7 linked regions of the Macaca fascicularis genome follow. The protein of the gene in region 5 interacts with the protein of the main gene of each other region in a pairwise test. Links are inferred from orthologs where the notes say so. Each region holds a gene or a part of one and is shown on either strand. Other genes may lie near its edges.

Region 1 (3,252 bases), on a different chromosome or scaffold from region 5:
CACAGCCGCGCTCCAGCAGCTGCTCCCCACTGCCCCAATCATTTGCACTGGACAGTGTCAGCTCCGGGGCCGGCACTGCTTTAAAGTTTTGGGTGTGCACCTCCTGCCCTTTTTCTCTCTGTGCTGCCTCTATTTTATTGGGATGACTAAATCTTTCAACTATGTTAGCAGTAAACACAGCTAATTTACCCCCTGCCTCTTTGAAACAGCTGCTGACAGCTGCACTGTAATTCAATCAAGGACCTTTGTAGTGGAGCCTCTACCAAATTCACATGTGTTGTTTGGTTCCATCTCTCCTGCCCAGAGCCCCACACAGCTGCACCAAATATTGACGAGCGCCCACTTCCCCCCAAGGCCTGAATGCTAAACAGTGTGTTCACGGTGGAGGCGAAGGCAGGGAGCTCTCAGCAGTGTGAGAGAACTTCAGTGTTCAGAAACTGAGAGAAAAACACAACACACACAGACAGACACAGGCCAAAGAACCAGAACCAAACGTCTCCTTTTATTGCAAAGTCAAACCCTTTTTATTTTGTCTATTTATACAGAATTTTCACTAAAGACTGTTCGACGCAACAGCCATGAGTACATTGGTCCAACCATTAATAAATAGTCTTAAATAAGAAAACAAACAGGTTGAAGGAAAGCAAGCTCGCCATCCTGAACGAGGGATTAAGGGGTGGGGGGTTCAAAAGAGCTTTGGATGGAAATAAATAATCTCTTTGCTTTGTAACAACTATTTACAGGTTTAAATGTACAAACGATGCTAACCAGAGGCTGGTTGGGTCAGTAAGTGGTGAGAAAACCTGCACCAAGAGAGATCACACAAAAAGCCCCAGCTCTGCAGGCAAATGAAACCAAACATAACAAAAAATACTCCTCCCCAGTGACTAGAGAGTGGAGGCTGCAGCCCAAGCTACTAAAGAAGAAAAACATCAAGGAAAATAAAAACAGAGCCCCGGTGTTTCCAGGAACCGTCTGAGTCAAGATGGAGAAACAGTCCCCCACAAGACCGGGTTCCACATGGCCACAGTCTCGGATCACCTTGCTTCCTTTACAGATGCGGAAAACGTTTGTAGACAGTGTAGCCCTCCCCCAGGCCTTGTGTTTGTGGCCGTAGGCTGACTGCATACTATTTATGGGACTCACCAGCCAAGGCAAGGCGGGCTTACACCAAGAGCCATGTCAGAAATGCCACCTCCAAATCGGGACACTTGGTTAGGATGTTACCCTCAACAAGGCTTCTGTTTGCAATGTGAGTCCAGCACATCCTGCACCCATCAGACCTCCTATTATGCCATCTCCCCCTTACTTCAAGGAGCAAATTTGTTTGCAGAGACTTCTGATCAGGGTCTGCAAATGAAGAGACAGCCACGGGTACCCTTGCCAGGGCCCAGCCTTGGAATGCCGCTGCAGACAAAGACCAGAGGGTCCACTGGGAGGATGTGCAGTACCCCTGCTCACCCCACTCCCGTGGAGAACTAGGCTTCATTGGTGCTTCCTTTTTTTTTTCTTTTGAGATGGAGTCTCGCTTTGTCACCCAAGCTGGAGTGCAGTGGGGTGATCTCGGCTCACTGCAACCTCCGCCTCCTGGGTTCAAGCGATTCTCCTGCCTCAGCCTCCAGAGTAGCTGGGATTACAGGCGCGTGCCACCATGCCCAGCTAATTTTTGTATTTTTAGTAGAGATGGGCTTTCACCATGTTGGCCAGGCTGGTCTCAAACTCCTGACCTCAAATGATCCGCCCATCTCAGCCTCCCAAAGTGCTGGGATTACAGGCGTGAGCCACCGCGCCTGGCCCATTGGTGCTTTTTAACAACAGGGTCGAGTTGCAAGTTCCATCCTACTTGCTGTCCTTGTACCCTCTGCAATTTCACATGGATTTACTACCACTGGGGCGAGCTGAAAAGCCAATTCCAAATGTCTGCGGGTGTTTCACACACCTAGTTTCATATCTGCCACTGCAAATCCAGCTGAACAACAGAACATATTTTACCTCCAAAGGTCAACACACAACCCTCCTCCGAGCAGACATTTGCTCTTTCCCCTCCCACTAGATCTTGGATTTGGGCAAACCTTGGTAAACACTGGAACTCTGCAAGCCTCAGAATGAAACCTGTAGGGAATGGAGAGGGACCTCCCCGCCCTCCACATGACACAGCTTCTGTTTATGCATCAGGATAAACGGAGAAATGGGGATAAATTGTTTAGGAAAATATATTTGTAACATCCTAACCATTTTCATTCATTCGTTTTATTGTGACATTTATTACAGGAACTTCCGGGTCAATTTTCCTTTCGCACAGACACCAATGTGCCCACCCCTTGCCACGCCCCCTTCCTCCCACGGCTGGGTGGCCTGGCTGGCGGGCCCTCATAATTACCTCTGGAAACAAGTCCGTGCATGGCTGAGACTTCCCAGCCAATGACCTAGCCCGGCCATTTTTCTTTATGCGTGTTTTTTTTTTCCCTGCTAGGTTTTGCCTGTACAGCTTGTAGGATCTTGTTCATTGGATGAAAAATTGATCAAAAGCCATATGCTGCTCACGTTTCCTAATACTCTTGCACCTTTAAAGTTGGGGATAGGGAAGGAAAGGTCTCACAAAAGGCAGTTGATCTGCTGGTTCCTGGCCAAGGCGAGCAATGGAGGATCCAGAAAAACTTGGCCCCAAAGGGTCTGAATTCCCGGAGGGGCTAGTGGCAGCCACAGGCCCGAACCACCATGTTTCTGTATTTCTTCAGGATGACGTTGGAGCTGTCATCGAAGTAGAGGACGGAGATGGCATTGAGCTGTGTGGGCGCACAGCAGGGCTTGGGCACCGTTTCCGGGTTGATGAAGTGGACCTGAAACACACACCAAAACATGGGCAGTGGTGAGAAGCGGTGAGTCCTTCTAACTGGCCTCCACGTTTCTATAAAGAAACATCCTGTCTGGGCATAATAAATGACTGCAGGTGACACTCCCCAAGCCAAGCACTCCCTGTTCTAAGCACTTTACCTGGACAACTCAGTTCTGGGATTACCCCTGTTTTGCAGACAAGCGAACCAAAGCATAGAGGTTTTCACACTATGCAGTTGAGAAGGAAGGGACCAGATCCGACATTCAGGACCAGGTAATTCTCTGTTGGGGAACTGCCCTGTGCACTGCAGAATGCTGAATAGTGTCCCTGACTTGGAGCCACCAGAAGTGCTCCATCTTGCTCATGGGCTTCTCTGTACCTTACAGAGGATGTGGGCCAGGGACACACAAACTCAA
Region 2 (4,090 bases), on a different chromosome or scaffold from region 5:
AGGGTGCCGTAGTACAGGCCAGCGAGCGGCGCCACCGGGGGCGCGGTCCTGAGCGCCTCCGCCAGGGGAGCCCCGTAGCAACCGCCGGGGTCCCGGGACAACTCGGTGGGCGCGTAGGGCGCGCGGAAGGCTCGCAGCGCGCAGTCCTCGGGCGCCGCGGGCGGTGGGAAGAAGGCAGCCTCGCCGGGCTCCAGGCCGTCCAGAGGCGAGCGCTCGGGCGTCGGCAGCCCCAGGCCGTCGAACTCGGCGCCCAGCGGGGGCAGCTCGCGGAAGGCGCGAGCCGAGCCAGGCGCCGCGGGGAAAGGCTCGGGCGGTGGCTGCGGGGGCGCTAATCCGGGGAGCAGGAGGCCGGGCTCCAGCCGCCGGGCCTTGCGCGCCTGCTTCTTGCGGCGCGGCCGGTACTTGTAGTTGGGGTGGTCGCGCAGGTGCTGCACGCGCAGCCGTTCGGCTTCCTCCACGAAGGGCCGCTTCTCCGCTGCGTTCAGCTCCTTCCACGCTTTGCCTGCGGGCCGCGGGCGCCAGTGAGTGGAACGCCGTCGGGCGGGTGGGCGCCGAGCCCTCCGTGCGCCTGGGACGCCCCGCGAGGGTTCGGCGCAGCCCCCCGTACACCGCGACCCCGGACCCCCGCGCCCCGCGCCCCCCGCCCCCTCCGGCCCGAGCCCCCCCGCCCGCTCCCCCTTCCGGCGCCCTCCCGCCGCTCACCCAGCATCTTGCTGAGCACCGCGTTGTGCAGGTCCGGGTTCTGCTGAGCCAGCCGCTTGCGCTCGTCCTTCGCCCACACCATGAAGGCGTTCATGGGCCGCCGGATGCGCGACTCGTCTGCCGCCTGGCGTTCCCCGCGGCCGGCCGGGCTGAGGCCATAGCGCCCCGGCTCGGGGCTGCGCGGCGGACTGCGCTGCGGGCTGGGCGGCGAGGCGGGCGCGGCGGGCGCGGCGAGGGCGGCGGGGGCGGCGGCGAGGCCGCGCGGGTCAGCGGCGGCCCCGTGTCCCGGGGCCCATGCACAGTCGCGGCGGGCGGGCGGGTCGTCCTGTGCGCCGTAGCCGGGCGGCGATCTCTGCATTCCAGCTGGGCGCGGCCTGGGCGGAACGGAGCGCGGGAGCGCGGCGGGCGGGCGGCGGGCACTGCGGAGCCGGGCGCGAGGGCGGGCCAGGCCGGGAGGGCGGACGGCGGTGGGGACGGCGGTGGCCTCGGGCCGGACGGGCGCCCAGATATAGCGGCTCGGGGCCAATCGGCGGCTGGGCGGGCGGGCCGGGGCGGGTCGGGGCCGCCCCCTCCCCGGGGGCTCCCTTTCTTCTCTGGCCGGGCGGGATTTCGCGGAGGCCTCCCCCGCGCACAGCCCCCCCACCTCCCCCGCCACCTCTCAGAAGGAGAGACCCCCGGGTGGGCAGGAAAGGGCTGCCGATGTGGGCCGGTGCTGCCAGACTTTCAGAGGCGAGCTGCCACCCACCCACGGAGTCGGACCCCCGGGCAGTAACGGGGAGGGCGGCAGTGTCCCGCTCGTTGCCGTTCCCCGCACCCCCCTAGGAGGCTCCATGGGGAGGAGAGGGCCCTTTTGCACACCAAGTTCTTGCGAGGCTGCCTTCCCAACAGCCGGTAAGTCCTTCCTGGAGCGCAGCGCCCTCAGAAAAGCCCCCGGCTTTGGAGAGGCGCTCTGACTACCCAAGGGCGCCCATGCACCACGTTCCTGTCAGCACCAGGGCCTTTGAATGCTTTTATGGGACAAGGTGGTCTTCGTGTTTCTGTCCTCACGCCCAAACCAACGCTGCCACAAGGCAAAGCTGACACAGGGAGGGAGAGAGCAGAGGCCCTGGACAGAGCCCACAAAGAGAAGGGGGAGCAGGGATGCAGAGGCTGTGGCCTCCTCCCTGCCCACCTCAGGGCCCTTGGGGAGGGGCCTGAGACCCACAGGGGCTGTCCGGCTCCCCTGCCCAGCCCAGGCCACCGCTGCAGCAAGAGGCAGGGCCGACCTGGGTCCTTCCCGCTGGCCCCTCCCTGGACCCTCTGACCTGGGGAGGGCCGGGTTCCAGAGGAGCGTCCAGCTTCCTGAATTTTCACTGTCCCCTTCCCACCCCATCAGGAGGGGATCTGGCCTCCAGAGCTGAGGGTCTCCCTCTGGAGGTCCTCCCCTCCCACTGCCATACGTGGTTCTACTGGAGGAGTGTCAGGTGTCCCCAGCAGCCCTCCAGGCAGGGTCAGAATCCCCCCACCTCACAGCACATCTCCTCATAGCCTGGAGGCTCCGCAACTGCCCCCCACCCACCCCTGTGCTGGGAGCCCCGTGGGTAGAGGCCACAGATCTTGGTGGCCTTGAGCCTGTGTGGCCAGCAGTTCTTGGGTCTCTGTCCCTGCCAGCCTCGCTAGGCCACATCCAGCCTGTGATGTGAATGGGGGGGGCCCTATGTGGGCCTTGCAGTGCTCCTCAGAGGCTGTTCCTGAACTGTCCCCAGGGGCGCTCCTGCCCTGAGGCCAGCACCCCCCACAGGGGCACCCCCACCGAGGGCTGTTGCGGTCGGTGTCCAGCCCTCCCCAAAGCCCCACATCACAGTCTGTCTCGACGCCCATCGTCCCAGCATGTGGGGCTGGATCTCCCAGTCTGGCCTCCAGGTCTCCCCTCACTCCAGTTTGCCCCACGGGCCTAGCACCTCGTTCACAGACACTGAACCAGTGCTGGCTAATGGGGGGCCCTTGGGGCACCAGGAGGTGTGGCCTCTGGCTTTTCTGGGGAGGCAGGCAGAGTTGTGGCCACAGGGATGGATGGGCTTACAGGCCTCTGCTGGGTGGTGCTAGTTCCCCTTCAATCTCAGTGTGGGTGGCTGGACGCTTGGCCAAGTCTGTGTGGGTGGGCCTCCTGGGCAGCTGGCAGGAAGGTGCAGGGGGGTGGGGAGCTGTGTGAAGACCCCCAAAGGGCTGCCACTTGGCAGAAGCTTCGTCTACTCACAACCTTAGGGATGGAGTCTGGGGTCACCAGGGCCTGGCTCAGCCTGGGCAGTGGCTGGTCACTGGGGCCTGGGAAAGAGGTCCTCAGGGTCCTCTGCAGCAGCCCTCACATGTTGGGAGAGATTTGCAGTTCCCTGGGGGCTCTGCTTGGTCCTCTGCCGCCCCTGAGAGCCCAGAGTCACTGGAGCTGCTCTAAACATAGTGGCAGGCAGTGTCCGGCATGACCTCATCGCCTCCTCATCCCCTACAACACCCACCAGCAGCCGCCTTGCCTGGCGCCAGCCAGTGACCCACCCTCTTGGCTGGGCTGTGGGACTCAGGTGTCCGGCCGTCATGTCCTGTGAGCCAGGGCTGGGTGGGGAGCCTCCTGGGGTGCTCCTTTCCCTCCACATGGCAGGGAGGAGGCGGCAGCCCCGGCCCAGTGTCCAGATGGGACAAAGTGAGGGTAGAGACCACAGTCAGGGTGGCGTGATCTGGAGTCGCAGGGCTGGGGGGACTCTCCAGGGCTGTACAGGGGATGGTGTGGGTGTGGCCAGCTGTGCTGAGGGAGGGGAATCCGATGAGTGTCTGTGCGTCTGTGTGTGGCCTGTGTCTGTCTGTCTGCCTGGGTGTGGGGTGAGGGGGACTCTGGTGCTGGAGGCTGCCCAGGGCCTTGGGAGCCAGGCAAGCTGGACTCTCCCAGGAAGAGATGAAGACCCATAATAGGTCCAGGACCAGGGGTCCTGCTCCGTGAAGGTTGGAGGGTCCCCAAGGCTTCTCTGGCCACTGAGCTTGGGCCCCAGCTTTCTCCAAAGGAGGGCAGGCAGTTCATGAGTCTAGGGGCATTCGTCTGCCTCTGGAACCCCACCTCAGTCTCTCCTGGACCAGGTGGGCTACAGCCCACCCTTGGGAGGGAGCCTATCTGTAGCCCCCAAACCCCAGTCAGAAAGGCAGAATTTGGGGGCAAGCTTTCTCTACAAGGGTGGGACTGGCCTGGGCACTGAGTGGACACTCTCCTGCCTACCACCTGCCCCTCTCCCTCAGCATGGACAGGAACTCGGCCTCCAAGTGAGGCCTGCAAAGGACGCTGGGTAGTCCCCCTCGGTGGCTCTGGGTGGGGGCTTGGCTTGGCACGGCTCCGGGCCGGGATGGCGGGACCTCCCAGGCACTGCCT
Region 3 (4,140 bases), on a different chromosome or scaffold from region 5:
TCAACTGTCACACACACTCCCAACTATTTTTTACCTGCCTATCAGTCTCCACAACTGACAGGGATGGCCTCAAGGGCAGGGGCTGTGTCTCCTCACCCTTGGCTCCAGCTCCACACAGGCCCTGGCACAGGGCAGCAGGTGCCTGACCAACAGCCTTCTGTGGGAGGTTGGGGTGGGGCTGAGGAAGATGCCGTGGACAGAGCTATGGACCAGGAAGGGTGGGATGGGCTGGGTTGTTTGGAATCAAGCAGAACGGGGTCAAAATCCTACCCAATAAAAATAAGAAATAAAAATAAAACTTTAAACACCCCCCTACCCGGCAAGTGACTGAACGGACCCCCTCTTGGCCAAGGAGACCCCAGAGAAATCTTGAAAACCAAGTTTCTGGCCATGACGGGATGGGAGGTTGCACGCGCCCCGTAGTGCCCCATCCCTTGATAACCTCCATTAGACTTTCTTCCCTAAGAGCTAAACAGAAACCGGCCTTTTCAAAAGACTCCATACTGATTTCAACCAACTGCGCCTCCCTTTTGTGGTTTTAACACAAAAACCAACCAGCATTTTTTCTTGATAAGAGACCGCGGATCATGGAGCGGTTCTAACCAGTCTGCAGAGGATGCACAGTGAGGGTTTTTGTGCCCCCTGCTTCACCTTTGACATCAGAGGGCTGAAAACTCCACCCTCTGATCACACTAAGGCCAACATTTTTTTGTATCTCGGGCCCATAAGAGGCATGGAGCTCAACTGTGCATGCAGATGTTTCTCCTTTCATAAATATGCATGACTCCTCCCACAGCTTATTGAATATGTATATTTGGCCATGCTGCTCAGCATAAATTTCTATTCCCTTTGCCTCTTCCTCAAAGTGTCAGTTTCTGGATTCTGGCCAGAGGCCATGCTTCCCAGCCTGTCAGAATGGCCACCCTGCAGGCTGCAACTCTTTATGAGAAATAAAGCTCCTCTTTCCAAATTAACAACAGCAACAACAACAGCACCCTGCTCTTTCCCCCACTAGCTGCATGACCCTGGCTAAGAAATTACTTCTTCCTTGAGTTTCTCAACCTTGATGGAACAGGTCATCACTGGTTGCCTGAGGATCAGAGTCCCCTGTTTATTGGGGAGCCTCTGGGGGTGGGGTAGCACACAAAGCACTTCAAAGGCATCATCTTGTTGAACCTCCCACGAAGCAGGTACCAGCCCCCTTTTACAAACAAGAAGCTGAGGTCCAGAGGGGTTCAGGTCATCGCCTCAGTAGGTGGGTGGTGGAGCTGGGACCCGGCAGCCTGGCTATGCCACTGGGACGGCAGTGCTGAGTCGCTGTGGGCGGAGAGCAGTGAGCATGTAGGACAATCCTGAGAGCTAGTAAGTGCAGGCCCCTCCCCTCTTTGCCCCTAAGAGGCTGACCCAGGAGGTCTGACTGGCCCTGAGAAAGTGACTGTTTCACAAGCTCCCTCCTATTCCCCACACCACAACGCTGATGCAGGGGTCCACAGAGCACATTTCCAGAAACACTGCTAAGGCAGTGCTGTCTACAAACCTCTAGCTGAGAGCTCAGGCTTAGAAGGCGAGAGATAATAACATGAACAGAATTCTAATAATAACGGAGCAAAGCCTCTACACAGTGCCAGGCAGTGTTCTAAACACTTTCACTCACTTAATTTTCACAATGATTTTCCAAGGTAGTGATTATTAGTGGCCCTATTTTACAGGTGAGGAAATAAGGTACAGAAAGCTTAAATAACTTGCCCATTGCCCTACAACTGGTAACAGCTGGTTAGTCAACTTTATAATAATAATAATAATAACAATTTTAAGATCTTTCCCCTGTATCCACCTGTGTCAGACAGTCTCCTGAGGTATGGGGAAGGGGTACCCAGGGAGCTTTTACTCAGGGAAGTAGAGATGTGTGTGGTTAAGACCAGGGAGCCAGAGAGATTTGGCTGTCCCCAAGTCTGTCCTAGAGATGGAGAGATAGGGCACTGGTTTTTCCCTGAGCCCCAGCCTGCCTTCTAGATGCAAGTCTTGGCTGTGAGTTCCAGGAGGAGGGCTGGTGGGCAGTGCCAAATGAAGCTTCAGGGTAGGTGGGTTGGGGCTCCCACTTGCTAGGTCTAGTCTCCCTTCCCATGTCCAGGGCCCCAACAGGACACTTGGGGGTTCCTACCTTCTTCCCCTGGGCTGCTCCCATGGCACGAAGTGGGCACCAGGCCTGGGTGGGCTGCAGGGGCCAGGCTGGGGTCTTCCCTGATGGCGTTGATCTCAGGAGCCAGGACCCAAGGGGCTCCCGGGGCCAGGGCCCCCTGTCCTCTTGCGGCTCATTCTCCCAGGCACAAAGGCGGCTTTCACAGCTGCTCCTAAGCCTGGAGCGCCTCAGACAGGCTTAGGGCGATTGATCCTGACAGACGGGCCAGTGTCCCCAGGCGGCTTCCATGCCCTTCGTGGGTCCCTGCAGCTCCTCACCTCCCAGAACCCCGCCTTTCTCAGGAAGGGAAACTGAGGCAGCTGGGAGCCGAGGGAAGACGCAGAGCAGTCCTCTCACCGCACACCGGTAGCTCAGGCGCGGCAGGTGACCTCTGGCTGGCCCAGCGGGCAGGACTTGGCCTTCTCGTCTTGCTGGGCACCGCTCAGCAGACAGGGCCAGAGAGTGGAGGCCATGGGCTGGCTGAGGTGCAGAGCTCTGGGAGGGCTGCTGGGGATGTCAGCTTCAGCTGGATGGCCCCATTAATAATAGACCTTTGAAGACGCTTGAGGTCCGGGGCTCTCCCACGGCAGAAACTCTGAGAGCGGACTCCTTCATTCAACTGGGCAGCAGGCTGCCTGGGAGGGCTGGAGGGTGGCTGGTCTGGGCTCAGGCCAAGAAAATATCTGGAGGCCGGATTTCAGGCCTGGGGCCAAGTTCTCAAAGTGCCCCCGGCAGTCACCCTCCTCCTCATTTGCCAGCCTCTTCCTTCTCCGTGATGCCAGCTTGTGGCCGAGGTTAAGGCTGAAGAGACCTTGGGCTTGAACTGTAGCTCTGTCCCCGAGAGTTGTGTGGCCTTGGAGGCACGATGTCGTGCGTGTGTGTGTGTGTGTGTGTGTGTGTGTGAAGCACACTGCACAGAGCTATATGGGGTAAGGTGTGTGTGTACAGCTCAAGCCATCGTTTTGTGAAAGCATAAATCAGAGCGTGTCGCTCCGTCTTATCTGTCACTTCACCAAAGGTGGGGTAACAGTTGCCCCCACTGCATGGGGCTGTGGGGATGCACAGAGCATCTGGCAAACAACAGTTCCTCAGAGAAGTTAGGCACTGCTGCTATCACGCTGCTAAGAACACAAATGATAAGTCCACTGCCCACTGGAAAGTCCCGAATAACCAGTTCACTAAGCACAACACCCATTCCCAAGAGGCGGGTGGGTTGGGGAGAACTTGCCACCCTTTCCTTTCCTCTAGCACGGTGCCTGGCACACAGTAGGTGCCTGCAGCACATACACAGATGACTCACAGAATGGCAGCTGGTGGAGAGTCAAGAATTAGGCATTCTAGATCCAGCCTTGCCAACAGAGCGAGATCCCCCATGGTCCACAAGTTCTGATCAACGGTCTTGCTAGGACCCCGTTTCCCTCTCCTCCCTCTCCCTGGCAGTTTCTGGGTCACAGCACCTCTCCCCCCGTCTCAGGGCCTTTGCACTTGCTATTCTTTCTGAGTGGGATGTTCCCTCCCCCACTTCCCCTCCATTCCCCATATGTTGAGCGTTGCATGATTCCATCCTTTTTGTCCTTCAGGCTCCTCAGAGCAGCTTTCTCCGATGCCTTCTGCAAAGCAGGTCCCAGGCTCTCTGTTTATTACTTTGTCGTAGCACTCATCAGCAACTGAAATGATAGGACTTCTGTGTTTATTGTCTGTCTCCTCTGCCTGGAAGGGCAGTTCCACAAAGGCCAGGGCCTGGTCTGTCCTGCTCCTCAGTTTACCCCGAGTCTAGAGCAATATTAGTAGAAGAATCCATGATGGAGGATTAAATGAAATAGTCTAAGTAGGTCGAGTGCTTAAGGCAGTCCTGGCTCATCGAAAGTGCTCACTGCATGGCACTGCTTAATACTGTTGTTGTTGTTATTACTGTATTTCCTCCAATATCCGTGACCCCTCCAGCCAAGCAAACATGTGGC
Region 4 (3,500 bases), on a different chromosome or scaffold from region 5:
TTCTCTTCATCCTTCATCGAAGTAGATTTCCAGGACTTTGGAGAGATGAGAGTTACAGAAAGGTATTCCTTGGGGAAAAAAGAGCAGACAGAGAGCAAGCAACGCTAGATCTTACAAATGTTGTAGCCAAAATGAGCACAAGTGGGCTAGAACCTAGCATACGGCAGAGCCCAACTGCTTCAGAAACTGACTCACCTCAACTCAGAACTCGGCATGAACTGTACAGGACTTGGCTCATGTGTCCCTGAATGTGGTGGCAGTAGAAGGCCATGGGCTCACCTGAGTCTTTCTCTGTGATGTTACTCTCCCACGTGGGAGAGGGCTCTCCCTTTTGGGCCACCCTCACACTGCTTCGGAGGACCTTGGGGATACTTCCTCCTTCTCGGAGTCGTTCTACTGATGTGGGAACCATCCTGTAAAGGCAACAGGGTGCAAGTTCAAGCCACAGGACTTAACCAAAACAAATGAAGCCCTAACCAAGGTGCACAGTGTATTTTCTTAAAACATCCTCTTAACACTTTCTTCAGAACCAATTTAAAACAAGGTATTTCCTCTGCCTCCAACTATGTCAGGCACAAAAGAGAAACATCATCATCATCATCATCAACAACCACTTTTAACCACCACCACCACCACTTTTAACAACAACCACCACCACCACAACAACCACTTTTAACAACAACAACAACAACAATCACTTTTAAAGAAAAAGAAATCAAGGAAAAAGTGGATTAAAGATGTCAACTTCCCCCAACCCCTATTTAAAAATGTTAAAATTTCTCCTTTGGGAAATCATATGCCTGATACATAGTAGTGGTTTAATAAAGGTTTCATAGATTAATGAACATTAAACATATGAGCCAGGACTCTTCTTTCTCAGACTTATTTTTTCAGTTCAAGATCCCTGAACTCCTGTGCTTCATTCTCTATTTCACACATTTGATCCTCAGTATTTGCCACCAGTATTATTCATTTTTAAATTTGCGGTCTCCCCTAAACCAGACAAGTCCTTTCAGAATGTCTTTTTGCTCTGTATATGCTAACTGTGTGGAAGAGAGACATTTGTTGTTAATTCATGTGGAACTTGGCTGGATTCTTGACTCCCCTTTCATGTGAAATGAGAAATAGAAGAGGCAGTGTTAGTGCCCACCAAATAAAAGAGCTCATCTGCATCCATAACTACATGTCATCCAAAGCGCTGCTCCACAGGCATGTTGGTAACTCTTAATTCTGCAAAGCTGGGGGGTTGCAGCTGACACTATTAAATCAGCTGAACAGGACAGATGGTACTGTTGGCTGGCTGTCTCAGATGTTCCCATCAAGTGTTCCCATAGATTTTAGGTAAAACTGGGAATGATCCTAGATATATACTCCCCCCATTCCCAATTTAACTATAAAACATCAGATATAAACTTACCACCTACTGCTGATATTCTCTTGAGGTCTGCAGTGAGATGAAGAAGTGCCTCTGGAATCTGATGGGCTTACCGCCTCCAAATGGGACATAGAGGAATGAGATGGGGAGAATTTTTTGTGAGGGGAAGATGGGGTTCGGGCTGAGGATCCCTGCACACCATGGGCACCAGTGTCAGAAACGGAGTTACTGCTGCCTTGCCCAGCTCCTGCAGACTTGCTTTTGCTCTGGGCAGAGTCACCTCCCCCACCAGCAGAATTTTCCTTAGCTTCTTGTTTCCGTTTTCGGTACTCCAGCAGGGATACCTAGAAAGGAAAAAACAAACAAACAAACAAAAAACGGTACTCTAGCTGGATATCATTAGTGGATCACTAGCAACAGGGAAAGAAGGAAAGATGGTACCGTAGTAAACCACTAGCCAAGCCATGCCAACAAAGCAGATACCAACCCTGACAACTTTTTTTGGGGGGTGTGAAAGAGATCTGAGCACAGCTACATAATTAAGACAGCTGGAAATTGGTAAGAGGAAGATAATAAACTAGGAGGTAAGTTTCTAAAGAATGTTTGCCAATTAGACCACCATACTTTTTTCTGTCTTCAGAAAAACTTGTGAGGTTACCGTTACACAGTAACAGAAGTGTGCTATCATAGTTATTTGCAACAATGGGAGTACCCAGAGAAGGGAGAATTGGAAGCTTGTATAGTTTAAAAAGCCTCCCAGGTGACTCTGATGGCTCTTCTGCACTCCTTGGAAGCCCCTAGAATTAGCTGTTTGAGAGCATGAGAGAGAGACAGAAGCAGGGAGAAGAGAAGAAGGAGATGGAGGACAGGGAGGGAGAGAAAGAGAGAGAGAGAAGGAAAAAAAAAAAAAAAAAAAAAAAAGAAAAAACCAATGCTCCAGAGTACTTAAATATGCTCAATTTTTCTTTTTTTTTTTTGTTTTTTTGTTGAGACAGAGTCTCGCTTTGTCGCCCAGACTGGAGTGCAGTGGCCGGATCTCAGCTCATTGCAAGCTCCGCCTCCCGGGTGCACGCCATTCTCCTGCCTCAGCCTCCCGAGTAGCTGGGACTACAGACGCCCGCCACCTCGCCCGGCTAGTTTTTTGTATTTTTTAGTAGAGACGGGGTTTCACCGTGTTAGCCAGGATGGTCTCGATCTCCTGACCTTGTGATCCGTCCGTCTCGGCCTCCCAAAGTGCTGGAATTACAGGCTTGAGCCACCGCGCCCGGCCAATATGCTCAATTTTTCAAGAAATAAATAGGAATTTATTATTGTTTCTGTTAGACATAGACGTAATTAATGTAAAAAGAGAGGAAATTATTATTTCCAGTTTATACTTTTAGCAAGCTAGCTCTAGAAAACAACTTGGTAACTTCTCCCCAACTTCCCCTTCATCTCCCTAACACTTGCTCATTCTTTTCTGACAGCAGACCCCCCACCCCACCCTGCTGACCATAATCCCTGCCCTGCCTAGTACACCTCCTCTTTGTTGTTCTGGCACACTACTTACACAGGCCGTAGAACTTTCTACCGTGTCTTGATTGCTCCCTGACTAAACTCTAAGTTCTAGGAGGGCTTTTTATCTTAAACATCCAGCACAGAATTTGAATATGCTTAAATTTATGCTTAAATGTGCCCAATAAATTTCAGAAGTGTTTCTGAAATAACATATTATGATTTCTATGACTTTTGCACATAGTAAATATTATAAAACCAGAAATCTAAAGATTGTTTTCATCTTTGTTTCTGGTAGTCAATGCTGTTCATGCAACAATCTTTGAAATCAATTACTATCCTAATCCAAATTATGTGCCAATGTTTCCTCCTCCTTCTATCCCCTTAGGGTTCTCATTTTTCTGTGCAAACGTAACAAATATAGACAGTTTTGCATATGCATTTTCTATACATAATTTTGGAAAGAAGTTAATAAATTCTGGTAATGAATATTATCATCACGAAAATATAAAAAACCACTAAGTTTCATTTCAATGAGGATACTACAGATGTTTGGCCATTACGTGGTACTGTCCCCTACATAGGACATTCAGCATCCCTGGCCCTGCTCAATAAATGCAAGTCACTGGGA
Region 5 (4,023 bases):
TGGCATTCTTTCTTCCTTTGACCTGGCTTATATTATATTCACTTATTTAAACATGGAAGCCTATTTAATGCATACTCATCTAATTTCATACGAATTATAGCAAGTGAAATTTCAATGGGTCTCCTGAGATACTGGGTGCATCTTATTAAGAGAATCAGACTCTTCTAATTAAAAATGGTCATTTCTCTAGACAATCTCCTCTAGTCAAAGACTCCATTTCTTCACCAGTGTATCCATGGAAATCTGCAATTCACTTAAAGAGGACATTTTACTTTCATAACTCATTGAAAATATGTCACAGATTTTGGGACAGTCAACTTACAGACCATATCATGATGACATTCTCTTACCTCCTGCAAAAACTTTTCACTCATTTGACCGAAAGGATGTCCTGGGGGCTTGATTCCAGACACCATCAATCCGGAACTGAAGACCCTTGGCTTCTGCAGGTCTGGCTTGAATTTCTCATAGAGGTTGGCAGACGGCTTCAGGTCACCACTCACAGCCTTCTCTTCATGGGGAAGAGGCATGGTACATGTGGGCGGGGCATATGGAAGCCCCACTGGAAGCAGCGAGGCGTCCACCTGGCCCAGGGCCTGGGGACTCCTCCTGATGTAGGTGATGATCTTGGGCCTCACATGCTTGGGCTTGGGCATAATGACGGGCTTGGTTTCTGTCCTCTCCTCTGTTTTTTCAACCTGATGGTTCTCCGTTCCCTCCTGCGAGGAAGGTGTGTCCTTGGAATGTGTGAAGACAGGCTTGGGGATCCCACTGGGGCAGGCGTTCTTGTCAGGCACTTTGGGGGATGTGTTCGACAAGCGTGCACTATCAGCAGGGGGTGGTACCGCCAAGGGGGACACTGCATCCATACCGAACACGCTAACATCCTGAAAACGGCTACTGGGTGTTGTAGGCTGGTGGGTCATGTTCACAGTTGTCTCTGGGAGGAGGGGTGCTGGAATATTGAGAACTGAATCTACTCTTGCTGAGGTGCGTTCAATCTTATCAGCATTCTCTAGAAGGTTCCTGCTTTCAGCAACAGATGTGGTGATCTCTCTGCTTTCCCGTGCTTCTGAGCTGCCACTTTGAGGTTCCAGGGGCTCAGGCACCTCTGTCTGGCTCTCTCCAATGGAAGGATTGAACACCAGAACTGTAACACTGTCCTTGTCCACTGTGGGTTGCTCACTGCCCAACTGCCTTTCCTCCTCAATGACATCCAAGGGTTTGCTGTCAGTCAGATTAGTAGGAATAAAAGCCACATGACCATCACCTGGTGAAAAGCTGCCGGATGTCCTTTCACCCAACTTCCCACCTGCACATGGTGAAATGTTGCCAGTGGGCTGACTATCAGCCCCTCCTAAGGAAGCAGAGGCCTGTTTGGGGGTGGCGTGGAGAGAATCCGGCTTCCCTGGGTTGACTCCTCTCTTCTCTTCACTGTTGCCTCTTCCCACCCCAAGGTGGTGGAGGTCACTGTTTGGCAGAGAGCCAAGTGCATCGGTGGTTTCTGGGTGCGCCTCCCCACACAGATCCTTTCCCTCCAACGCTGAAAGATTCTCTTCCCTGTGGCATCCCAGATACCCTTCCTGGGCTGCCTTTCCCTCCTGTTCAACCCTCCTGGGTGAAACATATTTCAGCTCCAGCTTGGCCTCTGCCTTTCCCTGACCTAATTGTGCTTCTGGCTTACTCGGGATTTCCCTCGATGTCAAAGTCAGATTCAGAGCAGGCTCTGGATGGGCGGAACGTGGTATGTGCTCACTGCACGCCTGCAGTACATGTGCTCCCACTGTCTGGGTCTCTGAGGGGGTGCTCTGCTTGGTCTCTGAGGTAGATGGTTTAGGATGACGCACACTCTTTCCCTGTGAGGTACTGTCAGTTGGAGGGAACGCTGCCGGGAGAGCGCAGTCTGGCAACGTCTTCTGTGGCCCCTCCCCACCCCCAGGCACCTGACCCCGTGCTTCCTGGGAGTCAAGGGGTGCAGGCTGTGGATGCTGCGGAGTCAGGCTCCCGACTACAGCTACAGAGCTGCTTGCTCTTTCCAAAGAATGCCTCCTCAGTTCCTCATTGTTGAGGGTCTTTGCCAATTTATCCTTGGGAACGTGCCGGGGAATTTCAGCATCCCTTTTAGCCAAAACGTCTAGACTGGCCTCACCCATCACATTTCTCCAACTCGACAGACTCGGTCCCTGGATACTCCGCGGGGTCTGCGGGCTATCTGCGCCTCTCTCCATTGTGTGCTCCTCATTGAGTTCCCTCTGAATGGTTGAAGAAAGTCTAAAATCTTTCAGGCTGGTGGAGCCAGGCTGAGATCCCTTCTCAAAGCTCTGAAGTTGGTGAAATTCCTTATGGAAATGGGTACGGTTTTCTGGCTCACTTGAATTTGTATTTCCAATTTCATCTTCCAGGTCACATGTCTTGGACTCATCATGAGAGGAGCTGACCTCCAACATGATTTGATTGGCATTTGTATCTCCCAGACTTAGGATGCTCTCATTATTATTTCTTGCTGCATTTCTGTTGTCCCGCAGCTGAGTGTAACATGATTTCTTAGGAGCCACTGGGACGCTCATTGTCAACCCTTTGGTGGGGCTGCTTGCCATGCAGTCCTACTTAATGGAAATGGGCTGCCTTCAAGCTGCAATCAGATTAATAGGAAATTCTCAGGCTGCTTGTCCTCCCCTGACAATGTCAGCTTGTGACACTGCTTTAATCATTCTCAGAAGAGCTTGAAAAGCAAGCATTCTCTTGATATACAGCAGGAACTAGGTTCCGGCTGAATGAGAGCCAATTAGTCCGTGAAACCTAGAGAGAAATAAAAATACATTCACATTAGATGGACAAATAGAACTTCTCAGGAGGAAAAAAGTGGTAAACACAGATTTATTCGTCATTTCTATACTATTATTTCATTCACTCGATAGTTTTCTCAAAAACCTTTCTGATCAGGGCTCCTGCTGACCAAATACGGACAGAAATTAAACATCAGAATGTTTAATGTTAGAAATCGATTATAAATGCATGTGAAATCTTAAATCCAAATTTTAAACATCCACAAGTCTATACTGATACTGATTTAAAAGGGTGGAGGAGAAGTAAAGGCTCTTCTTTACAGAAGAGCATCAACGAATGTAGAAAAAAATTTACAGAATTTGAAAAATCACTATTTTGCAATCTCTGCATTAATAATTATCTTGCACAAGGGATGCCAAAGGTACAAACATTGGGTAAAAGATTGTTGGGGAACAAGATATTTATAGATGCTTAAAGTATCTTCCCCCCAGCTACTTTATTTCTTACAAAAAGAAAATTTGATCTTTACAATGGAGAGATCTGGTAGACACCACATTAACCACGTGATCAAATTTAACATCACTGGTATCGAAACTGACATGACGGACTCCTGATATTAGTTAGTTCTCAGGGCCACACATCACCTATGCAGTAATGTTCAACCAGAATTTAACCATGAGAAAATAACCTGGCGAATTTAAATTGAGGTATGTATTACAAAATAACTGGCCTAACTGGTCCCAAAAAAAAAGTCAGCAGAGGCTGGATTTTCAAAATATGTTAGCAAAGGATATTATTAGGACAATGAGAGATGTAAATATGGACTGTATATAAGGTACAGGTATGTCATAATTAATTTCCTTGGGTGTATAATCGTGCTATAATTATGCCAGAGATCATCTTTGTTCTTGAAATATCCATGCTTTAGAATTCAGGGGTAGTATGTCATGATTTCTCTAACTTATTCTCAAATGATTCAACCAAGAAAAACATGTGTATGTATGTGTGTGTGCATATGAGAAGGAGACATATGTGTGCAAAAGAGAGAAAGAAACTGGCAAAAGTCAACCATTTGAATATCTAATTAAGAATTCTACTACATCTGCAGCTTTTCTATAAGTTTGAAATTTTCCAAAATAAAAACTTGGGGGAAACGCTTCATTCCGGCCTTCGCGGCCTGCATGATCAGGCCCTGAACACCTTTCTGGCCTCATCCCCACCTCACCATCTGCTCTG
Region 6 (3,975 bases), on a different chromosome or scaffold from region 5:
ACACTTTACTAGATTCAGGCTGACAGAGAGAGTCACAGCAATGTAAAGGCCGCAGAGGTTACGAAATTATTTTTCCTGTTAATACTGTCAGGTATAAGGAAATAGAATCTGGAGTAGAGACAGCATTTCATGACTACTGACCAAAACTCTTCAGCTTCTTTGACTATAGGAGGTCTTTCTTTTTTTTTCAGACAGTTTTTTTTTTTTTTAACCAAACGTCATCCAATCAAGTTTGTGGCTTGTGACCAGGATTTTTTCAAAGGACAAGAAGAGAAAATAGACTGTATCAAACAATACACCAAGTAAGGATAGGTTTTGTTTTAGAAAACTGTTTTCAGTTACGTGTTTGTATGTAAGTGTATCTTGAATTGCTATGTAAAAACGTGAGCTTTCTTAGTCTGTGGATTACAGTAAACCAATAGTGTGAAAGCCATTGTTCTGGGAGACAGGCCTATTAATCAGGCCTGTCCTACGCTTATAAAGGGGGCTGGTGTTTATCTGAATGGAAGCAAACATGGCTGCTAAACTAGCAATGAAGGATTTAAACTATTTGTTTTGGGGAAAAAATTTACATATATGTGTGTGTGTACATGTGTGTGTTACACTCAAGTAAGAATCTCTCAATCAGCTAGGAAGATACAACTTCCCATATAAAATTAGAAATAGGAAGGGGAAAAGGAAGAAAGGGAGGAAAGAAAGAAAAGTGTAATAAAAAAATTGAGGAATCTGTTAAACTTGAGGAACTCTTAGGATGTACATTTCTACCTAAAAAAAGTTCAGAAGACAGACGAAAAAGGGCAGAGAAGTACTTATTCCCAAGTGGAGAATATCTTCTTGATGAAACTGAAGTGGGTCCTGAGTAGCAGGGCCTGCTGTCAGGGGCTTGAATAGGTCTTCTGACTAATAGGAATGATAACTAACATCTATTAAATGCCACTTTATAATTTCCAGCTGATTTAAACTTCACAACTTTATGAGGTAGGCCCTAACATTTCTCCTGCAAAGGGGCTGGGGGTGGCACAGGCAGTTGCATGGGTGGGCAGGGAGAGCAGGTTAAATTCCAGAAACATTTAAAACAGTTGTCAGAGGCTGGGCACGTGGCTCACGCCTGTAATCCCAGCACTTTGGGAGGCCGAGGTGGGTGGATCACGAGGTCAGGAGATTGAGACCATCCTGGCCAACATGGTGAAACCCTGTCTCTACTAAAATACAAAAAATTAGCTGGGTCTGGTGGTGCACACCTGTAGGCCCAGCTACTCAGTACGCTGAGGCAGGGGAATCACTTGAACCTGGGAGGCAGAGGTTGCAGTGAGCCGAGATCACACCACTGCACTCCAGCCTGGTGACAGAGCAAGACTCCGTCCAAAACAAACAAATAAACTAAAAAAAAAAAAAAAAAAAACGAACAGTTGTCAGAAAACATTCCTAGTCATGGGTATTAGAGTATGGAACTTTTCCCCCTAAGGTCCTAGTATCTAGCAATTCTAATCAGTATATAGACCAGTCCAAAATGGACAAGTAATCAAATTACTTACATTTTTCTTTGTCAAAACCAACATAACAGATATTTTGCTTTTTATTCTGGGAATGGCAAGTTAGTAGACATGTCATCCTTATGTGATTTTAGTCCTGCATTTTTTTGGCATTATTAAATGTAATAATTCACATTGAATTAATATTAATACTAATGATAAATCAAATCTGATGACAGTAGGATTTTTAAATTGTATTAAAATTAGCAGGTCTTCTCATTTCAGTCTCTTTGCTTCAGCAGTATGTGATAAGAATTTTGACTAAAGACCTTTCTCTCTATGCTTTATATATTCTTGGTAAATTATGATTTCCACTAATCTTATTCCCTGTGGATAGGTAATTCTTTTTCAAGGCTGATGTATAACTACTTTTTTAAAGAGATGTAGAATGACCAAACCGAATAACTTCATTACTTTTCAAAAAAGCAACATTGATCTCACTTTTCAATGTTTTAAGTGCACCACACAAGGCAAATACTTCCCAGTGAGAAAAAGAAGACAAGGTGCAGTTTTTCAGAAAATGCTATTACATAGGCTTAGTCTGATGTGAGTCTTCCTCGGAAGCACCAAAGTCCTGAGGTTCAAACAAATCAGGAGAAATAATTTTGCGTTTCTGGACCAGGGCACAATTCTGCTTTAATCACTGCGCTGGCATTAGTGGGACTTTTACTATTATTTTTAAATGTTAAACCATTTTACTGCCCTATTCCTAAAGCCTTTAGCCAAACATTGTAAGGGCAGCCTGGACTCAAAGTTGGGGAGTGAGGTTGGATCAAAGTTCAACATCGAACTAAGTTAAGACCTTTGGATTAGAAAGTCGACCTGCAAAGCCAAAGTTGCAAGTAAGCAGGAGGACTCTGCATGAAGGAACAGGTCAAGGCCAACTCCCTGAGTGCTGATCTGTCTCAGCCTCAGTTTCTTTATCAGCAAAACGGGGACGAGAGTTCTCTACGAAGATTAACCAAGCTAATCTAGGTTAAAAAAAAAAAAAGAAAGAAAGAAAAGAAAAGAAAGAAAAAGAAAAAAAAGGGCTCCTGGCATGTACCAGTTGCTCAACTCGGAGTGTCCTTCTCGGTTTAAACCAGCGGGGGAGAGTCAAGGCCTCCGGAGCCGGAGGGCGGGTAAGGCCCGCACGGTCCCCGGGCTGGAGGCGACCGAGCACGTTACCTGATCGCGTTGACCGGCGGGTTTCGGAGGCGGATCAGCGCCAAGGCGTTGTGCAGCCGCGTATACTCGGCCATGTTTCTTCTATTACCGAGGGCACCTCTGCCTCTCGCCGCCAGGCAAAGCCACTTTTCCGGGCGCGCCCGGCCGCCCCCAGAGGAGGGACGCCGACTGGGCCAATGCGAGCCGGGGCGCCGCCTCCCGCCGCGCCTCTTCCCACCCAGCCCTCCTCTACAGAGACCCCACCCCGCGCTCTCCAGACGCTTGTCGCTTTCTCTTGATTGACTCCCAAGCTGCTCCCACCACAAGGTACAGCAAGGAGAATGATGGAAACAGGTGTAATTGCCGGCAAGTGGAAGTTTGCAACCCCTTGGCCCATAGGGGCTGGCTACTGAGGACAAGTTCTGAGTTCGCTGAGTCGGGCAAGCTGTCCGCATCGCGGTATTCATCTTCATGATCTTTCTGAACCAGGGACAGATACCTGGGGCCCTGACAGTTATGTGATATTGATACACATCTGGAACACATAAAATACACATTGTTCATTTCACCTAAATGAGTAGGGTACTAATGAAACAGCCTTTGCAAAAATTCTAACACTGAGAAAATTATGGCAGTGAAAGAGATCTGATTTAACCAACTCCATCTTGCCTTTAGCTGCCCTTAATTATTCCTGAGCTCAGGCCAAGTTAACTTCGGGAGACATTTAGTTTATAGTTTAAATGATAATAGCTATTCCCCAAAACTCGACTGCCTTTGTAAAGCTAACTGAGAGACCACCAGGCTAGGAGGATAGAGGAGTGTGAATTCTGTCTGCTAAGGTGTAGACAGAGACCATTGCCAGCAATTACTCCGGAGGCCACCAAACAGACAACCCCCATTTACTCCTGCAGATAACATCGCTATTGTAGAACCTAAGTTTGGCCTTTTGAGGCATTTTTTCAGGATTTTTGCATGCCTGACACTGATGGCTCCACCTGGACCAGTCCACCTCTCCTGTGGCCCCACCCATAAGCAACTCAGCACAAGAGGATAACTTCAACCCCCTATGATTTCATTTCCAACCCAGTCAGCACTTTCCATACTCTAGCCCCTGCCCACCAAACTACCTTTGAAAAACCCCTAACCTACTAGCCTTCGATGAGATTGATTTGAGTAATAACTCCATCTCCCATGTGGCGTGGCCAGCCTCACATCAATTAAATTCTTTCCTTATTGCAATACTGTAGACTTCCTGAATTGATTTTGTTTGTGCAGCAGGCAGGAAGAACTCATCCAG
Region 7 (3,017 bases), on a different chromosome or scaffold from region 5:
GTTGAGTGTCTTCATCATGAAACAGTGTTGAATTTTGTCAAATGCTTTGTCTGCATCTATTGAGATCGTGTAATTTTTATATTTTGTTCTGTTAATGTGTTGAATTACATTGATCAATTTTTGTGTGTTGAATCATCCTTGCATCCCAGGGATAAATCCCCCTTGGTCATTGTGTATGATCTTTTTAATGTGCTGTTGAATTTGGTTTGGTAATATTTTGTTGAGGATTTTTACATCTGTTTATTAAGGATATTGGTCTGTATTTTTCTTATAATGTTTTTGTCTAGGTTGGTCTCAGGGTAATCCTGGCCTTATAGAATAGCTAGCATATAGTTTATAGTTGGATTTTGTTTATCCATTCAGGTACTCTGTCTTTTGGGGAGTTTATTAATATTTAATGTAATTATTGCTAGCAAAGGACTTACTATTGCCATTTGTTAATTGTTTTCTGTCTCTCTTGTACCTCTTTTGTCTCTCCCTCTCAGCTGTCTTCCTTTATGGTTCATTGGGGTTTTTTTTGTAGTGATATACTTTTATATCTTTCCCATTTTCCTCTGTATGTCTTTTATAGGTATAGGTCATGGTAAAACAATTTGTTTTAAGCTGATAACATCTTAAGTTCAATCACATATAAGAGCTCATTTTTGTTCTCTTGAATTGTTTTTTTGTTTGTTTTGTTGTTGTTGTTGTTGTTGTTTTTTGAGACAGGGTCTCACTCTGTTGCCCAGGCTGGAGTGTGGTGGTGTGGTGTGATCGTAGTTCACTACAGCCTCAAACTCCTGAGCTCCAGTAATCCTCCTGCCTCAGCCTCCCAAATAGCTGGGACTTGTAAAATTGGCCAGGTGTGGTGGTGTATGCTGTTTGCTCACAAGTAGCACATGCCACTCTGTCTCTTTTGTAAAGACAGTGTCTCACTGTGTTGCCCAGACTGATTTCAAACTCCTGGACTCAAGCGATTCTCTCACCTCAGCCTCCCAAAGCACTGGGATTACAGGGGTAAGCCACCGCACCCACCCTCCCATGCCTAATAGGTAGAATAATTTCTCTTATTTTTCTGAGGATATTAGTTATGGTTTGTTGAAGTTTTTTCCTATTTGCTTTCTTTTCTTTGTTTGTTGTGTTCTCTCTTTCACATTAGAGGATTTCCTAAGATGCCTGATAATCGATGCCCAACTTTATAAGTAGGAACTAAAAAGCAGATTGGAATCTCTGAGCACACAAGTGGTACTTGTTGACTTTGAGCTTCACTTTAAAGTGGTCTGGCTGGACCATTTGTTAGATAAATTCCTTATCCCAAGTCCGTGTTTTTATATCTTTCCTCCTAGGACTTACCAGTTTTCCCAGAGAAGACTGTTCCAAAATCTTTCTTATGAGGGTACTACCAGCATTCTAGGAGCCAAATGGCAGAAGAGGTCTGGGAGGACCTCAACATTTAGTATGCATTCGTTCTCTTAGTCTCCTTGCTTTCAGAAACAGGGTTCACATCTTCAGCCATGTATGGCATTCCCCATCTTCTGACAATGAGCCTCAAGTATTCTACCAGAATCGGCAAGTTATCTTTTACCCCATAGCATGTTGTGAGGGAGGGTATTTAAAAATCATATTGGCTTTTAGACAGCTTTCAACTGACCTGCCTTATTTTAACCCCATCCCTTCACATTTATTTCTGAAAGTAAGTGAAATTATCAGTTCCTGAACTATTTAAGGATTCTTAAGTGGTGACAGGTGTGTTCTTGGCTTTCTCCACTACCAGTTTAAAATTCAACTTTCTTCAGTGTGCTGAGTTGGTTCCTGCTCATCCAATTATTTTTCATCTTCCAGATTATTATTGCTGTTGTCTCCTTTTCTTGTTCCTCCTGACCTTGTTAGTTTGTGTTTTTTGTTTTTTTTTTAAGTGCCCATAGTTATAGAGAGTTTTCTGGATGGAATGAAATTAAATGAATGTGTTCAATCCACCATTTTTATGTGAAACTAATTGTAATCATAATGAAAGAATTGCCTTACGGCTGGGCATGGTGTCTCACGCCTGTAATCCCAGCACTTTGGGAGGCCAAGGCGTGTGGATCACCTGAGGTTGGGAGTTCGAGACTAGCCTGGACAACATGGTAAAACCCCATCTCAACTAAAAATACAAAAATTAGCCAGGTATGACTAATCACAGCTACTGGGGAGGTTGAGGCATGAGAATTGCTTGAACCCAAGAGACCAAGATTGCAGTGAGCCGAGATTGCGCCACTGCACTCCAACCTAGGTGACAGAGTGAGACTTTGTCTCAAAAAGAAAAAAAAAAAAAGAATTGCCTTACCTCCTTTTTATGATATTTTGGTTGATTCTCAATTTGTTTTAGGTGTTATACCTGAAGAACCTTAGCCCTCGGGTGACTGAAAGAGATCTTGTGTCATTGTTCGCTCGGTTCCAGGAGAAAAAAGGACCTCCAATTCAATTCCGAATGATGACTGGACGAATGAGGGGCCAGGCTTTTGTCACCTTTCCCAGTAAGTAGTTTCATCCAGATGATTACTCAGTTGCCCCTCAGTTCGCTAGAGACTACCTATAACCTCTCTAATTTAGATACAGTCCTTTGATTTCTCCACAGCATGTGAGAACAAGAGAAGGAACGAAAAATATGTTTTCAGTATTTCTTTCTCTTTCCTCTCCTCCATTGACAGTGCATGGCCACACTACCCCAGTGTCCTCAGGTTTTCCCAGTCTTGGTACTTCCTTCTTACCCTACCAAAATCTGTACTCCCTTTACTGACAACAGTATTTCTGGTCCAAGTTATAATTAGATTACTCATTAATTAGTGTATTAGTATTCTGATCAGAACACATGTACTTGCCTTATGCACTGTTCCTTTAGGACTAAGTGAGCACAAGCTAATATACTAATTTATTACTTATTCATAATTAGTAGATGATGATACAGTCTTCTAATTATTATTTGCATATTAATTAATGCATAGCTTCTAATCCAACGGGAAGAATAATATAAGAATTTCAGTTTCTGTGACAGACCA

The links.
Region 1: the proteins of MTUS2 (region 5) and BMP7 interact in a two-hybrid assay, tested with the Homo sapiens proteins (3 studies listed by BioGRID and IntAct). The two-hybrid records come from large-scale screens. The link is inferred for Macaca fascicularis from reciprocal best matches to the Homo sapiens genes MTUS2 and BMP7.
Region 2: the proteins of MTUS2 (region 5) and TCEA2 interact in binary tests that used the Homo sapiens proteins (3 or more experiments, as listed by UniProt). The link is inferred for Macaca fascicularis from reciprocal best matches to the Homo sapiens genes MTUS2 and TCEA2.
Region 3: the proteins of MTUS2 (region 5) and FAM107A interact in binary tests that used the Homo sapiens proteins (3 or more experiments, as listed by UniProt). The link is inferred for Macaca fascicularis from reciprocal best matches to the Homo sapiens genes MTUS2 and FAM107A.
Region 4: the proteins of MTUS2 (region 5) and SETD5 interact in binary tests that used the Homo sapiens proteins (3 or more experiments, as listed by UniProt). The link is inferred for Macaca fascicularis from reciprocal best matches to the Homo sapiens genes MTUS2 and SETD5.
Region 6: the proteins of MTUS2 (region 5) and EHHADH interact in binary tests that used the Homo sapiens proteins (3 or more experiments, as listed by UniProt). The link is inferred for Macaca fascicularis from reciprocal best matches to the Homo sapiens genes MTUS2 and EHHADH.
Region 7: the proteins of MTUS2 (region 5) and RBM41 interact in binary tests that used the Homo sapiens proteins (3 or more experiments, as listed by UniProt). The link is inferred for Macaca fascicularis from reciprocal best matches to the Homo sapiens genes MTUS2 and RBM41.

Annotation. Positions count from the first base shown.
Region 1 is NC_088384.1:113,219,643-113,222,894, forward strand, and holds the end of BMP7 (bone morphogenetic protein 7), read right to left. Parts: intron 2,841-3,252; coding exon 2,691-2,840; 3' UTR 501-2,690; downstream 1-500. UniProt on the Homo sapiens protein: Growth factor of the TGF-beta superfamily that plays important role in various biological processes, including embryogenesis, hematopoiesis, neurogenesis and skeletal morphogenesis.
Region 2 is NC_088384.1:120,189,258-120,193,347, forward strand, and holds the start of TCEA2 (transcription elongation factor A protein 2), read left to right. Parts: upstream 1-1,290; 5' UTR 1,291-1,532; coding exon 1,533-1,593; intron 1,594-4,090. Other genes in the region: SOX18 (transcription factor SOX-18), read right to left, coding at 1-502, 703-1,060. UniProt on the Homo sapiens protein: Necessary for efficient RNA polymerase II transcription elongation past template-encoded arresting sites.
Region 3 is NC_088376.1:121,733,594-121,737,733, forward strand, and holds the start of FAM107A (actin-associated protein FAM107A), read right to left. Parts: upstream 2,801-4,140; 5' UTR 2,186-2,800; coding exon 2,162-2,185; intron 1-2,161. UniProt on the Homo sapiens protein: Stress-inducible actin-binding protein that plays a role in synaptic and cognitive functions by modulating actin filamentous (F-actin) dynamics. Mediates polymerization of globular actin to F-actin. Also binds to, stabilizes and bundles F-actin.
Region 4 is NC_088376.1:147,737,756-147,741,255, reverse strand, and holds part of SETD5 (histone-lysine N-methyltransferase SETD5), read right to left. Parts: intron 1,720-3,500; coding exon 1,418-1,719; intron 414-1,417; coding exon 280-413; intron 1-279.
Region 5 is NC_088391.1:8,910,803-8,914,825, reverse strand, and holds the start of MTUS2 (microtubule-associated tumor suppressor candidate 2), read right to left. Parts: upstream 2,801-4,023; 5' UTR 2,800-2,800; coding exon of another isoform or gene 2,704-2,799; 5' UTR 2,598-2,703; coding exon 351-2,597; intron 1-350. Other genes in the region: uncharacterized protein, read right to left, coding at 2,704-2,799. UniProt on the Homo sapiens protein: Binds microtubules. Together with MAPRE1 may target the microtubule depolymerase KIF2C to the plus-end of microtubules. May regulate the dynamics of microtubules at their growing distal tip.
Region 6 is NC_088376.1:97,193,553-97,197,527, forward strand, and holds the start of EHHADH (peroxisomal bifunctional enzyme), read right to left. Parts: upstream 2,801-3,975; 5' UTR 2,774-2,800; coding exon 2,700-2,773; intron 1-2,699. UniProt on the Homo sapiens protein: Peroxisomal trifunctional enzyme possessing 2-enoyl-CoA hydratase, 3-hydroxyacyl-CoA dehydrogenase, and delta 3, delta 2-enoyl-CoA isomerase activities. Catalyzes two of the four reactions of the long chain fatty acids peroxisomal beta-oxidation pathway.
Region 7 is NC_088395.1:113,661,362-113,664,378, reverse strand, and holds part of RBM41 (RNA-binding protein 41), read left to right. Parts: intron 1-2,347; coding exon 2,348-2,495; intron 2,496-3,017. UniProt on the Homo sapiens protein: May bind RNA.